Linked DNA regions of Macaca mulatta. The main gene of each other region encodes a partner of the protein of the gene in region 2 in a complex. Links are inferred from orthologs where the notes say so. Each region holds a gene or a part of one and is shown on either strand. Other genes may lie near its edges.

What was found.
Region 1: the proteins of BRME1 (region 2) and HSF2BP are in contact, whole or in part, in a crystal structure (PDB 7Z8Z), measured with the Mus musculus proteins. The link is inferred for Macaca mulatta from reciprocal best matches to the Homo sapiens genes BRME1 and HSF2BP. Residues at the interface, in NP_083321.2 of Mus musculus: Met541, Gln542, Asp543, Ala544, Thr545, Val548, Arg549, Leu551, Val552, Leu555, Ser556, Asn559, Ile562, Met563, Thr565, His566, Leu569, Lys573; in NP_083178.1 of Mus musculus: Glu23, Phe24, Val25, Lys26, Val27, Arg28, Asp31, Leu32, Arg34, Leu35, Glu38, Val39, Gln41, Ile42, Phe45, Leu46, Arg48, Ile49, Glu53, Leu54.

The regions. Positions count from the first base shown.
Region 1 is NC_133408.1:3,903,069-3,906,876, reverse strand, and holds part of HSF2BP (heat shock factor 2-binding protein), read right to left. Parts: intron 932-3,808; coding exon 773-931; intron 1-772. UniProt on the Homo sapiens protein: Meiotic recombination factor component of recombination bridges involved in meiotic double-strand break repair.
Region 2 is NC_133424.1:14,493,161-14,497,551, reverse strand, and holds the start of BRME1 (break repair meiotic recombinase recruitment factor 1), read left to right. Parts: upstream 1-1,526; coding exon 1,527-1,664; exon of another isoform or gene 1,665-1,932; intron 1,933-2,903; coding exon 2,904-2,955; intron 2,956-4,391. Other genes in the region: CC2D1A (coiled-coil and C2 domain-containing protein 1A), read right to left, coding at 1,137-1,196. UniProt on the Homo sapiens protein: Meiotic recombination factor component of recombination bridges involved in meiotic double-strand break repair.

The DNA.
Region 1 (3,808 bases), on a different chromosome or scaffold from region 2:
CTCACACACACACACACACAGAGCTGAACCTTGAAAACAAGGGTTTGAACTGCACAGGTCCACTTACACAAGAATTTTCTTCAGTAAAAGTTACACTGAGTGTGTCTGCTACTCCAGCCTCCCCTTCCACCTCCTCCACCTCTACCACCCCTTAGACAGCAAGGCCAACCCAACAACTCTTCCTCCTCCTCTTCAATGTACTCAATTTGAAGACGATGAGGGTGAAGATCTTTATGATGATCTAACATACAAAAAATGTGTTAATCAACTATTTATGTTATCAGTAAGGCTTCCAGCCAACCGTAGAGTCAAAAGTTCTATGTGGTTTTCGACTGCACAGGAGGTCAGCGCCCCTAACCTCCATGTTGCTCAAGGTTCAACTGCATCTATATGTACGTGTGTGTGTGTACAAACACACACATCTATATACATGTATATGTTAGAGAACATATATTCAATAAATTAAATACTATATTAACCATGAGATAATATATACAAAAGCACTTTTGATCTTATTAAACACATATAAAGTATTAATACTGAAGTGGTAATATGTCCACATATACCACAAGGTCTCCTGGAGAGAAGGGGGCTTATTTCATTCACTTTGCATCAGGTTACAATGAACCACATACGATAGGTATTCAATAACTAGCTGATGAACGAACACAAGAAAATGGAAAGATAGGGACTTAGTCTTTAAATGCCTTAATAAGCTATATGCTCTAAGTTATACAAGCATTAATCAACAATATCTAGAGAGCCCACTGACCATACTTACTCCTCCCAAAATGGCCTTGACGACTTCCTCGCTGCTGGAGACGCCCCACAAGAGGGTACAAGCTGCTGCTCCCATTTCTGTACAATACTCTGCCTGCTGCAGAAGTTGCTGCTTCGCTTCATTCAGCTGCTGTCGAAGAGCCAGTTTCTCCTGAAAGCAAAGCAAAATCGAAAAATAAATAATAGCATTCAACCGTGACATATCTTTATTACATTTCCTCTTTCACAAAGGTATTTATTAAAGAAATGCATGTATAATTATAGAAAATAGTTGCAAATGAAAGCCAGTCCTAAGAGAGCCATAATCTATATCTACAGAAGAAATTTCAAAGGCAAAAACATCTGAGAAATATCTGAGGAAAGAACATACTACTATATTCTGGTTGATAAACCCACAGAGCTGAATTCATCTGCTTTAAGTAACTACATGAAATATCTCAAGCCCCAAGTGACTATACTCAGAACCAGCACCAACCGAGGCTTCTGAACAAAAACAACCTCACAAAGCAGTTTACCCAGAGAGCAACATTTCTAAGACAGGAGACTGCCTCCTCCAAATGGCTCACTCCACTGAAAAAACACCATCTGCCAGAGGCAGACGCCAAATAAAAGGCACTTGGACATCAGGATTTGTAAAAAAAAGTACTTTAGAAAAACTCATTCTATATAAACATATCCTTAAGTCCTCATGAGAATATTGCCACAAGTGCCAGTAAACATAAAATATAATCTGTGAAGCTAAACAGGGAAAGAAAACCTAAAACCTAAGACCAGGTAGGAAAGATGAGAGGAGGGGCAAAAAGAATTGTGAAGGCTGGGAGTCCTATTCATGCCCTGGTGCAGCAAGCCAGTGCCAGTCTAACAATAAGATGGAGGCTAGGAAGAGTTTCCTACTCTCCCACCAGCAGTGTCTGAGGTGACCTGTAGCTGGGTAAGTCTCCGCCATGGCTCTCTTCACAGGGGAAACACAGGGAATGGCCATCCTGATGGCCCTCCTGAACAACACAAGCACACTTGGAGGATTCACCTTGAGTGCACTACTGGAGTGATGTGGGGCTTTCTGTCCTCTCCAACCACCAGCACCAGGTACCTAAAATTCCCTCAAAAGGTGATAGCATTTCCTGATTTAATAAGACAAAAACTGAAAAATACAAAACCCTAGTCAAATTCATGTATACCAAATATAATGAGTTACATAAACCACAAAGTTAAAGTATATTAAATGTTGTAGATTTTCTTTTACAGAGATGAATACAAGACAAAAATAGAGGGGGCTTTTCACCCCCTGGAGGAAAAAGAGAGCTTTGGGGCCACAAATCAATACTGTTGACCTCGTAACTTGGATTAGGGTGGCCCACTCATAGTTACCTGGAGACAATGCATTTGGCACACAGAGATTCATACACATTCATACATATACACACACATGTATTTAAGAAAAAAACGGCCACTGAACCTCTGGCACATGCTAATACTGCATCATGTGACCTGTCAACTCTGAGTTTTTAATGTCTTCATTATAACAACAATCTGGACTCCTAGATTCATCCTTCCAGTGTATGCAGCTGAACACAAATCATGGTGACACATCAAGAAAACTATGTCACAGCACTTCCTTTTGGAATTCTAGCTTTTCTCACAACTTAAGCAGTCTGCGTCTCAATTAGTCAGGGTATGGTGGTTCTTCTGCACGACCACAAAAAGACTACTGAGAATAACCAGGCAGGACTTTCCTCACTACAGTCACATTTGGTAGGTGCAGGAGGATATTCCCCAATGCAGGGTTCCACACACAGTACAATAATATAAAAAAAAAAAAAAAAAAAAAAACAAAAAAACTCAAAATCATAGCATTCCCAGTAACATCAAAAATAAGAATAATTTTTTAAAGTGCAAGACCTATACAATGAAAACTACACAGCATTACTGAGAGAAAGTAAAGAAGAGGCTAAATAGATATACCATGTTCAAAAATTGGTAGGATGTCAATTCTTCCCAAACCGATCAACACAATCCCTATCAAAATCTCAGCCGACTTCTGTACAAAGTGATAATCTGATTCTAAAATTTCTATGGAAATGCAAAAGATTCAGAATATCTAAAAAATTGTCTGAAAAAGAAGAACAATGTTAGAAGACTAACAGTGCCTGATTTAGAGGAAAAAACAAACTAATTATAAAACTACCAAAATAGAACCAGTGTGGCATTGGTATAAAGATGGACATATAGATCAGTGAAACACTGAAAAAATTGATTTTAACAAAGGTGCCAATGCAATTCAATGGAAAAAGGATAGTCTTTTCAACAACTGATGCTAAAACAACTGAATATTCATATGCAAAAAAAAGTTAATTCAAAATGAATCACAGGGCCGGATGTGGTGGCTCACACCTGTAATCCTAGCATTCTGGGAGGTGGAGGTAGGTGGATTGCTTGAGGTCAGGAGCTCAAAACTAGCCTGACAAACATGGTGAAACCCCGTCTCTACTAAAAATACAAAAATTAGCTGGCATGGTGGTGCGCGCCTGTAATCCCAGCTACTCAGGAGGCTGAGGCAGAAGAATTGCTTGAACCTGGGAGGTGGAGGCTGCAGTGAGTGGAGATCACACCACTGCACTCCAGCCTGGGTGACCAAGCGAAATCCTGTCTCAAAAAAAAAAAAAAAAAAAGAAAGAAAAGAAAAGTGAAAACATATGACCACAGAAAAACTTGTACACAAATGTTTGTAGTGGCATTATTCATAACAGTCAAAAACTGGAACAGGCCAGGCAAGGTGGCTCACACCTGTAATCCCAGCACTTTGGAAGGCCAAGGCGAGCAGATCACTTGGGGCCAGGAGTTCGAGACCAGCCTGGCCAACATGGCGAAACCCTATATCTATAAAATAAAAAAGAAAAAGAAAAGAAAAAAAGAAAACTGCAAACAATCTAAACGGCCATCAAGTGGTGAATGGATGAAGAAAATGTGATACATCTACCCAATGGAATCTTGTTCTGCAATAAAAAAGAATAAATGATGTATGCTATAA
Region 2 (4,391 bases):
AGTGGTGCGATCTCGGCTCACTGCAACCTCCGCCTCCCAGTTCAAGCGATTCTCCCACCTCAGCCTCCTGAGTAGCTGGGATTACAGGTGCCCACCACCATGCCCAGCTAATTTTTGTATTTTTAATAGAGATGGGGTTTCGCCATGGCCTCCCAAAGTGCTGGGATTACAGGTGTGAGACACTGCACCCGGCTTCCATTTTTAATTTTTAATTTTTATTTTAGAGATTCTTGTTCTATCACCCAGGCTGGAGCAGAAGTAGTGCGATCACAGCTCACTGCAGTCTTGAACTCCTAGGCTCAAGCAATCCTCCCTTCTTAGCCTCCCAAATAGCTAGGACTACAGGCACATGCCGCCATGCCCAGTTAGTCCTTTTATTTTTTGTTGAGACGGGGGTCTCGCTTTTGCCCAGGCTGGTCTCAAACTCTGGCCTCAAATGACTCTCCCGCCTCTGCCTCCATCTCCTGAAGTGCTGGGATTATAGAGGTCTCCATTTTACAGATGAGAAAGCTGAGGCTCAGAGCTGTAAAGTCAAATGTCCAATGTACAGAGGCCAGGAGGGAACTTCAGGTCAGCCAGACTCTAATATCTGAACACCAAGCTATGTCCTGGGCTCCTTCCATGAAAACAGAAAAATCAAACTATCTGGTGCCTGGGGCAGAGGAGTTGGGAGAGGGAGAAGGGGCCCAGCCACAGTGCCATAAGTGCCATAAGCTTACGGCTGCGGCCCTGGATTTGTGCTTAGCTCTGGCCAAGCTGTTAATCCCTATGACCTTGGGCAGATGTCTTCACGTCTGTGAGTCTCAACGTCCTCATCTGTACAATGGAATAGAGTCTGGCATGGCCCGACTGATGCAAGGGTTTGATGTGTCAAGTCCGAGGACTGCCCCTCCCCGACTGGAGCAGCTGTGGCAACAGGTGGCCCCGAACCTGGGGCAGGGCCCCAGGAGCTGGGGAGCCAAGGCCAGTAGTAGACCACACTTGAGTGGGGTTGGGGCCTCACCTGGAGGGGGGGCGGGGACCGGGGTTTACCTGGGGGGCGGAGATCGGGCCTCCCTGGGGGGTGGGGCCCTTCCCTGAGTGTGTGACCGGGGTGGGGAGGGATCCCCAGGTCGCGCCGTGGGGCGCAGACTCACCTGGCGGGCGGCCGCGGCGCCTCTGCCCGGGGGTCCCGGGGGTCCTTTCCTCTTGTGCATCTTCCAGGCTGGATGCCCGAACCACCTGCCCCCAAGCCCGGCCTTGCCCTGCCTCCTTCCCCGGGCCCTGTCGCCGCGCACGCGCCCTTCCTGAGTCCTGCAACCCTCGTCGGCGCTCCGCGGCCGTCGATCCCGAGCCCTCGCCTCCCTGCTTGGCCGCCCCACTTCCGCCTCGGGCCTCGGGCGCCGCTGCACCGGAGCGCGGCCACTGGACTCGCCGGGTCCGCCGAGCCGAAACTACAACTCCCGGCAGGCAGTGCGCGGGCGCGCATGCGCTTCGCAGGGCGGTGCTCACAGTCGCGGGCTGCGTGGGCGGTGCTTGCGTCGCGCATGCGCGGGGCGGGGCCTCGCGAGGCGCGGGAAAGAGGCAGAGCGAGCGCAGGTGGGAGGGGCGGCGACCTGTGTGAGGTTCACAGCGTCCCTCAGTCACCGATAGGCTCCGGCTTCACGTGGGCGGAAGGACTCACTGTGAGGACTCACTGTGGAGTTTCGGTGGTCGACGTAGTGTTAGTGTGGGGCTTGTCACCGGGAGCGGGGTCCACAGCGCCCACCCTCAGGCCTTTCCATCCTTCAGCTCCCGACTCGAGGCCTCCAGGCTTCTGTGAGGGCCAATTTGGCCATTTATTTTTTCCAAAAAGAGTAAACGCTGATAATTCAACCGACTTATTCCCAACGGATCCAGGCAGAGTTCGTTTCTGATAAGGACAGAGGGTCCTCAGCGACTTCTGCGGCCCAGGTCCGTTTTGGCTTGCGTGGCCCCCAAGGCTGGGAGAAACCGGCCTGTGGCAGCTCTTGCCCCTCCAAGGATGCAGCTGTCCCCTTTAAAATGGCACGATCTTGGCTCACTGCAACCTCTGCCTCCTGGGTTCAAGCGATCCTCGTGCCACAACCTCCTGAGTAGCTGGGATTACGGGTGTGTGCCACCATGCCTGGCTAATTTTTTTTTTTTTTTTTTTTTTTTTTTTTTGAGACGGAGTCTTGCTCTGTCGCCCAGGCTGGAGTGTAGTGGAGCGATCTCGGCTCACTGCAAGCTCCGCCTCCTGGGTTCAAGGAATTCTACTGTCTCAGCCATCCGAGTAGCTGGGATTACAGGTGTGTGCCACCACGCCCAGCTAATTTTTGTACTTTTAGTAGAGACGGACGGGGTTTCACCGTATTGGTCAGGCTGGTCTGGAACTCCTGACCTCAAGTGATCCGCCCACCTCAGCCTCCTAAAGTGCTGAGATTACAGGCGTGAGCCACCGCGCCCAGCCTAATTTTTGTATTTTTAGTAGAGAGGGGGTTTCACCATATTGGCCGGGCTGGTCTCCAAAGGCCCCAGAGGCCCCTGGAGAGTCCTCAAGTGTCCTTGGAAGGGCCCCCAGATACCCTAGTCGGGAGGGAGGGTTCACACAGGCTGTTTCATCCCAGGGACCAGAGTGTAGGTCCCCGGGGCTTCCCATAAGGACCCCCGAGGTCCCATTTGTCTTTCAGGTCCTGGGCATAAGATCTTTAGTTTGGAGGAGGTTTGAATTCCTACCTGGCCATGGTCCAAAGTAGCTGTGACTCTGTGTCCCACGCTGTGTCCCAATGGGAGCCATCTGACCCCTGGGGCAGCCACATGAGCCGAGGTGGAGGCGGGGGTAACCTCTGCTCTCAGCCAAAGCCACTGGATATAAACAGAGACAGGGACTGCTTATAATGATGAGAGATTTTGCTTGTTTTCAGATTTCTCAAGGGGAAGATAAAATGACAAAGAGGAAGAAGCTGCGGACCTCAGGTATGTTCATTCAAATGAACACTTCTTGATTTCTACTTGTGCTCGTGGGAAGAATGTGGGCTTGTGTATTGCAGATTTGGCTAACATGACCGTCCCAACCTCCTTAAAAGAAAATAAGGATTGGCCAGGTGCAGTGGCTCGTGCCTGTAATCCCAGCACTTTGGGAGGCCAAGCGGGCAGATCACAAGGTCAGGAGTTTGAGACCAGCCTGACCAACATGGTGAAACCCCATCTCTACTGATAATACAAAAATTAGCCAGGTGTTGTGGCACGTGCCTGTAGTCCCACCTACTCGGGAGGCTGAGGCAGGAGAATCACTTGAACCTGGGAGTCCGATGTTGCAGTGAGCTGAGATGGTGCCAGTGCACTCCAGCCTGGGCAACAGAGCAAGACTCTGTCTCAAAAAAAAAAAAAAAAAAAAAAGAAGAAGAAAAGAAGAAAAGGATTTAATTCAAATAGAAGGCCAGGTGTGGTGGCTCACACCTGTAATTCCAGCACTTTGGGAGGCCGAGGTGGGCAGATCGCTTGAGTCCAGGAGTTCGAGACCAGCCTGGGCAACATAGCGAGATCCTGTCTCTACAATGTAAAGTAAGGAAATTAGCTGGTTGTGGTGGTGGCAGGCATCTGTAGTCCCAGCTACTCAGGAGGCTGAGGCAGGAAGATCGCTCGAACTGGGAGGTGGAGGTTGCAGAGAGTCAAGATCGCACCACTGCACTCCAGCCTGACTGATAAGAGTGAGGCCCTGTCTCAAAAAAGAAGGAAAGAAAGAAAAATAGAAATAATGGAGAGGGCATACAGGAAAAGTAAAAGTGAAAGTTTTCTGGAGCTTCTGCAAGCCTCTGGTGGGGTCCCACAGCTTAGAGGAGGCCTCCCCAGGCTTCAGGGCAGTGGGACAGCCTCCCTGCGGAACCAGTACTAGAGATGACCCCTGGAATAATGCTTGATGTACTACAAGGCTACTTGGCATGTGGCTGAGTGTTTTACTCTGGGGCCCAAAACCTGGGTTCATCCCAGTTCTGCTCACTGTGTGGTGGTGGATGATTTCCTCTGTGCCTCAGTTTCCCCTTTTGTAAATTGGGGATAATAAAAGTCACCACCCTTTCCTTTAGAGCAGTGTTTATCAACTAGGTGACAGGAAGGGATTTTGACCCCCAAGGGATAGTTGGCAATGTTTGGAGACTTTTTTGTTTTGGAGACCAAGTCTGACTCTTGTCCAGGCTGGAGTGCAGTGGCGAGATCTTGGCTCACTGCAGCCTCCACCTCCCGGGTTCAAGTGATTCTGCAGCCTCAGCCTCCTGAGTAGCTGGGACTACAGATGTACACCACCACACCTGCCTAATTTTTGTATTTTTAGTAGAGATAGGGTTTCACAATGTTGGCCAGGCTGGTCTCAAACTCCTGACCTCGGGCGATCCGCCTGCCTCAGCCTTCCAAAG